Linked DNA regions of Mus musculus: region 2 is reported to be linked to region 1. Evidence: microRNA targets listed by miRTarBase, many of them from high-throughput screens and not tested one by one. Region 1 holds a microRNA gene; the other region holds the end of a gene's coding sequence.

Region 1 (4,000 bases):
CGATACAAGTACTCATAAACTCACAGCTGGGGAGGCCAGAGTGCTAAACTGTCATAACATGGAACCATCTCCCAAGTATATGGAAACAATTACCACTTGTGGTAGATAACATGTTGAGGTTTGGTCTTTTGTTATCTATTGTAATGGTAAGTGCGGCCCCCCAGGACCTGGGTGTCCCAGAGATAACTCAGTCAGCATACAGACCTTGCTCATAAGTTATTTCTGCTTGGTAAATAAAGATGCCAATAGCCAATAGCTGGGCAGAAGAGACATAGATGGGGTTTAGGTTTCCCAGGCGTGCGGTTGGAGGAGAAGGATGACGGGAGGGAGGAGAAGGAAGAGGAGAGGCACAGGAGGATAAAGGAGAAACCACCATGGGTTAGGAGTCAAGAGAACATGGCTCTGAAGGCTGGCCAACTGGAGTTAAGAACAGCCCAGATGAAACATAGCAAGTAGTAATAACTCAGAGTTACTGATAGTAAAGTAGATTCTAACAACATAGAGGGTAGATATCTGCCCAGCTCTTGTACTGTTTAAGGCTAACTGTAAATATAAAGGTTATGTATGATTTTTATCTGGGAACTAAATGATCTAAGGCAGGGTAGAAACCCTGGATCCGGATTAAATAGTTTCTACAACAATTACAAATGTATAGCTATATAGGATCCTGAGAATAAGTGACGGTTGAGTGCTTGGTCCTAAACAAGGCATTACGCCATTTCTTCCAAGGCTCAGGAACAATGCAGAAGAGGATATAGCATAAAGAATGTAAGTGTGGAAAATAGAGAGAAGGCCTTCCAAAAGCCCCCAAATGGGCAGTATCCAGCCAACTTAGGCATACCCTTCAAACAACTGGAAATGGTTTCGCTCAGCCTGCACAAAAATGAGCTCATTAACAGCCAGACGTGGATGAGTGAGGGGGTAGGTCTAATCTTCTCTGCTAAACTGTTTCCTACTGAAAGATTCTGGGAAACACAGTCATTACCTTCAGCAGTATACCTAACCAGTGACCGCACCACACTCACCGCAGTGGATAGTCCCAATCCAATAGTCACACTGATGGTCCTGGTTAAACTAAACTGGTCACAAACTAAGACCGAACACCATGACTGTGGGATCAGGACAGATATGCTGAGGTGCTGAGAGGAGTAGGGGTAACCAGAATGCATCTTACACATGTATGAAACTGCCAAGGAATGAGTGAAAGAAAGAAAAGGAAGGAAGGTAGGTAATTTAGAAGCCACAGGATTACACATATTACCATGGTAAAGATCCTTAAGTGCAATGCTTTCTCCAGAAGCCCATGCCTATATCTTGGTATTGTGTACTATCCGTTTCCCATGAGTCTGCCAAATAATTAACAAAATAATTAACTTTGTTTCACTCTGGGGCTTCTTGAAACTCTTTTCTGCAGCACAGGCAAGGATCTGGCTCTACCTTAGAGGAGGTCTCTAAGAGTCTCTTAGGCTGCTGGTAGCTGTGTTAGGCCGTCTCCCTGCTGCTGCTGAAATTTCCTAGGTTGGTTTTTACTAGTAAATGATCTATCAAACTTAATTAAATGAAAACTACTGAGAAGAGATATAGCTGAATTATCTACAAAGAGATGACTTGGCTATCTTGCATTAAGACTGTGGTTTGATTCTTACCATTTCAAATAAATAAAACAAAAATTAACTTTTGGCTTAGAAAATAAAAGATAAAACAAGCACCTTTGAAATGGTATTTCATGCTCTCCTGAAATTAGAGAATACATTACAATCCTCAAAGGGCTTTAGGACTATGTACATGAAGACAATTGTTTTAACTGAACCTTTCTGTAAATAATCTCTAGTCAATGGCCTGCTTCCACCTGTTTCCAATATTTAGTCAAGTCACAGGTACCCTTTGACATATCCATGTTTCCTGTTTTATAAACTTCGTTCTGAACTTTGGAATTCTCTCAGTCCTTTTGAGTAATCATCTTATGTTCACGGTGACTCAGAAAGAAGTTTTAAAATGGAATACAGACAATAAAAATTAGCTTAGATAGCTCTATTACCTTCCCAGCTAAAAACAAGATGGATTCTAAAAAAATTTTCTCTAACTCAAACTACTGTAAAATTGTTTATTTAAAAACCCATTGTAAACCACTTAATTCAATTTTTACATCTTAATCGACTTAGAGTATTTTGTTTCCTACTGTTGATATTTTTACCTGTCAAACTCTCACGTACTGCCATCTTATTAAAAATGGGAGCAATTTCAAATTACTGAAGAGATGTAAAACTGTAAAATCCCTGTGTACTTTAAACCTCATAAAGTACAGAAGATCTGATGATAAAAGAACTGGCAGAAAACCAGGGTGAGAAAATCAAAATTAAATAAAAAGCAAAAAATTAAATAAAAAGCAGCGCTTTACAGATGGCAAGCAAGGTCCTAGAACTTAGAAAGGTAAACATGAAGAAAAATCCACTCCTATACTTTACTGAACTCTCAAAATTTGAATAGAAATTCTAGGGGATTAAAAGACTTCCGAATATTTTTAAACTACAAAATGTAAAAGCAACATACATAGATGGTAAACAAGAAGCATTTAAACATAACAAAAAGGTACACTCCTCTTATAAGTTGTTGTAGATGTCAGACAGAGCTACGGTCATAGGATAAGTCAATCATGTGCAGCATGCGGTCCATATCCTTATCAGACAGGGTGGTGGCTTACACACAACATCCCATCTGAGTATGGATTAGGAAGGACAAAGTCAGGTGATTAAAGAACTTGCAAAAACAAACAAACAAACAAACAAACAAACCAGAATCCAAGGAAGGACCAAATAACAACTCTCTTAAGTCAAAATCTGCTAGCTTTAATAAAATCACCTTGCCTGCCCCACCTCACACTAACCCACTGGCCTAGCCATTGTTAGTTAGTTATATAATTCACATTGTGGAAGCAGGCCTGGGAAGATGGAGGTGGATAAAAAGGAAAGAGAAAGCGGCTGTAGAGAGAGTCCTGTGGAAGACTACAGTGCAGGTATATGTGTATCAACAGCTGTTCTCAATCTTCCTAAAGCTGAGACCAACTAACACAGTTCCTCCTGCTGTGGTGACCACCAACCATAAAATTATTTTGTTGCTACTTTATTCATGAATTTTGCTATCGTTAAAAATTGTAATATAAACATCTTGTGTTTTCCAATGAAGGAGCAAAGAAACTCTCTGGTTCTTTTTCTGACTCTAGACAAAGAACCAGCCACACTCACCATCTGTCCAACCAAAGACCACCATGAGAGTAACTTTAAGCAGTATTTTGGAGTCTTACTTTCACAGGTTTATTCTTTTTGATAAGCCATTTACTCTCAGAGAAGTCTTGTGTCAGGTTCACCCCAGGAGACCAGAAAGTCGGTCTTATCCCTGTGCCAGTTAGTCAGTTTTGGACTCAAGTCCTCCACAAACACAAAGCTAAAATGCTGATAAGTGATCTATATTTGTTTTGTAAAGATCTAGTTCTGTACAGTTTCTTTTTTTGTTTTTGTTTTTTGTTCTTTTTGCTTTTGTGTTTTGTTTTGTTTTATTTTGAGACAAGGTCTTACTATGCAATCCTGACTGGCCTGGAACTTACTACGTAGGACCAGCAAGTCTTGAACTTGCATAGATTTCCTGTCTCCACCTCTGGAATGCTGGGATTAGAGATGTGCAGAACCAGATCTGTAAGACAGCAGTTCTTAACCTTCATAGGCCATGGTCTCCTATGGGAGTATGGCAACACTGACTGTCTACTGTCTACTATGGAAAAAACAAATCACATACACATAATTCTAAATGTTATGGGGGCTTGAAATTCTTACAAAGATCTCTCAAGCTTCGGTACCTGGTGTGAACATTCTGCTGTTATCCTGGTTTTAAAATGGGATGTGTGGATATTCAGTTGCTCAAAACTGAAGAATCCCAACCCCCAAAAAGGATTAGTAAAAGATTCTCTCAAATAATTTCAGGGCAGAAAGTATAAGGAGTAGGTATG
Region 2 (4,000 bases), not on the chromosome of region 1:
GAAGCTAGAATTGGCCCTGGCCTCTGAGGCTTGGAAGGAGGCCTTGGTGTGATTGGCAGGGTGGAATGAAATTGAAACTGGCCACCTAAGTGTCCCATATATAATCAAGAATGGGGTTATTTGCTTATGCGTGCAAGTTATAAAGCTCAAATTTGGAAAGCCTGTAGTGGCTGCGGCTTTTTGTTTTATTTTTGATACTGTATTGAAAACTGAGTCTAGGGTTTTGCTCATGTTAGGCAAGCACTCAACCACTGAAGTATATCTCTCTGTTTACTTCAAGAAGATGTCTCATGGAGTTGCCCTGACTGACCGACCATAAAATGGCTCGTGACTCAGACTCTCCCAGGTACATGCAGAGCCAGCTCCAGGCTTCTGGCCTAGCTTTCTTAGTAGTTTTAGGAAAAGGTTTGTGTATAGTTGTGGTCCTGTCAGGTTTGCTGGTCTGTAAACAAACTGGGTAGGGGAGAAGGAGTTCCTGAGTGTCAGAGAGACTGGGTGTGGCTGGCAGCTGGCATATGAAAGGAGGCACTGTGGTGGGGTGTCACAGCTCAGCTGGAATCAGGCCCCACCATGTCCCTCTGGTCTTGTTTTTCTTGTTGCTCGCTTTCTTTCTTTCTTTCTTTCTTTCTTTCTTTCTTTCTTTCTTTCTTTCTTTCTTTGTTTATTTGTTTTTAGAGACAGAGTTTCTGTAGCTCTGACTGTACAACTCACTCTGTAGACCAGGATGGCCTTGAACACAGAGATGTGCCAGCCATGCCTCCCAAGGGCTGGGATTAAAGGGGTGCACCACTATGGCCAGCAACTTGTTGCTATTTTTGCTTGTTATTTGAAACAGGGTCTCATGTAACCCAGGACGGCCTCAAGTGTGTTATGCTGCTGAGAGTGCCCTTTCTAGCTCTCACCGCCTGTACACAAGCACTCATGTCCTACCTCATCTTCTCCGGGGCAGGAAAATATCATAAAAGTAAGGAGGCCGACTCAACAGAAAGAAAGAACTGATTCCTAAATGTTGTCTCTCTTCTCCTCAATCTCCTCTCTCTCTCTCTCTCTCTCTCTCTCTCTCTCTCTCTCTCTCACACACACACACACACACACACACACACACACAATGAAGAACCCTGGGGGTGATGGAGGGATCCTGTCGGGCCAGTTGCCACAGTGACCTGGTAAAGACAGAGGATGTCCCAATTCCCTACCAGCTTCGCTCTAATGAGCAGGCGCTTGCTGGCCTCCTCTTCCCTCTGTAAAGATTTCCTAGAGACCGAGGTCACCACCCTATGCCAGAGTCGTCAAGGAAACCAAAAGGCCATGAGCTTCAATTAATATATATGTGAGCAGTCCTCTTAGTGAAGATAGAAATGAAGCCAAGGGTATAGTTGCTAGCCAGAGGACCCATTTTGTAAGCTCAGAGAGCCCTCTACTGGGAGATGAGACTCCCTACAGACAGTAGGGGAGGGTTTGGGGAGGAGCTGAAGGCAGGAGAATCTCCTGGACACTTCCTTAGACAAGTGGGATGTGGAATAACTGAAGATCAAGAACCAGACAGGATTGCAGTTTATTGACACCATGACGTGACAGCTGTTGTCACTGGAAGAGGAGGTTAGTTTAAGTGGTCTCCGTGGATGTCACTGGGGACCCCATTCACCTTTTAGCTAGAGGTCATGGATTTGGCGTGGAGATATAATTCTATGCCCTGGAGTCAGTATCACCCACACCATTCCCGAACTCATCTTCTATTTGGTCCAGCTATTAGAGCCTGGGTCCCTCTTCCTTTTGAAATTAAGGGCAGAGGGAGTGCAGTGCCATGTCTTAAGAAAGAGACGGGCTGCTGGCAATGGTGGCACATGCCTTTTAATCCCAGCACTCACTGCCATAGGCAAGCAGATCTCTGAGTTTCAGGACAGCCAGGGCTACCCAGAGAAACCATAACTGAAAAACAAAAACAAACAAAAAAAGAAAGAAAGACAGACAGACAGAAAGACAGACAGACACATTCAGACAGAAAGGAAGGAAGGAAGGGAGAGAGAGAGAGAGAGAGAGAGAGAGAGAGAGAGAGAGAGAGAAAGAAAGAAAGGAAAGAAAGAAAGAAAGAAAGAAAGAAAGAAAGAAAGAAAGAAAGAAAGAAAGAGAGAAAGAAAGGAAAAGAGAAAGAGGGCACTGGGGATGTCGCTCAGTGGTAGAGCAGTTGCTTAGCATATATGAAGCCTTGGGTTCTTCCAGAGACGGGGTAGATGGAAAGGAAGGAGCTGAGGGGGGGGGGGTGTGTCTAAGAAGAGTCAATGAAACACAGAATTACCTGTCTTGATACTGTACGCTTGAGGCCTGTGTTTAAGCACCGGTCCCACACCAGCCCCTACAAGTGGGTACGGGTGGTGGCAGTTCCTGAAGGGAATGCTTGCTCTGCCTGTGTTGTGTGGCTTTCTGATTGGGGGAGGAATTGGAAGTGTGGGATTTCTGAATCATGACATGACTCATCAGAACAGACGAAGAATGCTCAAGATGGTCTCTAAAAGCACCCACAATGCAGTGTGGAGAGCAGTGCAGGCTACTGACACCCCCATGGTCCACCAGAAGAGAGGAGTGGAGCCATTCTAGGGTGTGGGGTCCAGCAAGCATGAGCCCCCTGCCTCCCTGATTCCACACTGCTTCCTCTACCAGCCCACGTCCTGAACCAGCTTTTAGAGCTGGTTCAAATAGCTGTATTTGAAACCTGAAGGGTTAAGCTCTGGGTGGCCTACGATGTTCTTCAGTCCCTGTTCTGGGATCCTGGGGCTTATCTTGGGCACAGAAGGCTAAGATGCTATCAGAAATGACTTAGCTAGAGGAACAGTTTAGGGAAGGAAGTCTCACCCATAACCAGGCTTGCTGTTAGGTGGGCAGGAGACTGAGAAGAGAAGACAAATAGCAGGACATCCTAGAACAGCATTTCTGCTCTTAGCTTCCAGGATGAAATGTATAAACACATGTGCTGCATATGTGGCAGTGCACACACACAAACACAGGAGGGATGGGTTTTGTGACTTGCTCTTTGAAACCAGAGAGGAGCGGAGAGGCTTATAGGAGTGCCTCCCCCAGTCTAAGGTTGCTGGTCTCAGTGGCTGCTCCCCACATCAAGCCCCCTTGCCCAGTACCCAGAAGATAAACAGGTGGTAGCATTGCAAGGTGGCATCAGAGAAGCAGCCTAAGGAGGTAAGGACAGGGACAGAGGCCGACTCCCCTCAAAGCCCCTTGTTGTAGTAAACCACATCGATGCTGGGGTTTTGTGCTTGGATCTGAGCTCTCAGCTCCGGCTCCAGCCTGGTCACATGTATGGAGCTGCAATAGAACAACACAGGCTAGGTAAATATACTCCGGGCTCAGTGTCTCAGACCCAGGAGCTGGCTTCCCTCCACTCCCCGGTGAAGAATCTTCCCTGCTTTCAGAAGGGCTGGCTCACTGTTACCCCACCCCCACCCCACCCCCCACCCCGGGCTCCCAGATGCTCCTGTCAGACCTCCCGGGAACACACTGCGGGCCTGAGATGCAGAGTCCCGGGCAGAGATTCTGGTCAGGTCCAGCGGTGTCACTCACCTTCTCTGAGGGAACAGAGCGCAGCACAGGGGTGTGGCAAATACCAAGCTAGAGAAGAAGAGCACAGGAAATGTCTGTGACACTGACTTTTGTGTCCCCTCCCTGTACCCCACCTCACAGGAATAGCCCCAGGAGTGAAGCCTTATTTGTTTGTTTGTTTGTTTGTTTGTTTGTTTGTTTGTTTTTGAGCTCTATCCCAGCCATAAAGGTTGGAAAATGGAGTCAAAGGACCATTCAGGGATGTTAAACTCAGTCCTGATATTAGATCCTGTCTGGGGAAAGAGCCTCTTGAGCATCAACCCAAAGCCCCAGGATCAGAGAGCAACAGGATCAGGGGTAAAATGGGATGCAACTCCTGGATTGTACCCTAGAGTCTACTTGTATGGGGTCCTCTGGTGAGTGAAGGCTGAACCCCTCAACTAAACTCTTG

Evidence for each region. Region 1 holds the annotated microRNA mmu-miR-1933-3p (CCAGGACCAUCAGUGUGACUAU, at 1,048-1,069, opposite strand). A microRNA usually pairs through its seed, bases 2 to 8, with sites in the 3' UTR of a target mRNA and lowers its output. Matches are read on the target gene's strand: a 7mer-m8 pairs with bases 2 to 8, a 7mer-A1 pairs with bases 2 to 7 and ends in A, and an 8mer does both.
Region 2: the mRNA of Sfxn3 is a reported target of mmu-miR-1933-3p. Seed matches in the 3' UTR shown: 7mer-A1 at 1,896-1,902.

The regions. Positions count from the first base shown.
Region 1 is chr11:21,343,553-21,347,552 of GRCm38, forward strand. It overlaps Mir1933 (microRNA 1933), which reads right to left and starts at 1,123; the gene lies at 1,036-1,123. The region is part of intron 3 of Ugp2 (UDP-glucose pyrophosphorylase 2); the gene reads right to left.
Region 2 is chr19:45,053,920-45,057,919 of GRCm38, reverse strand. It overlaps Sfxn3 (sideroflexin 3), which reads right to left. Exons shown (of 11, transcript NM_053197.4): 10 at 3,571-3,618; 11 at 1,537-3,315. The coding sequence ends at 3,219. It also overlaps a transcript of Pdzd7 not described here. Among named protein-coding and RNA genes, the nearest start is that of Sfxn3, 8.3 kb to the right of the region's middle.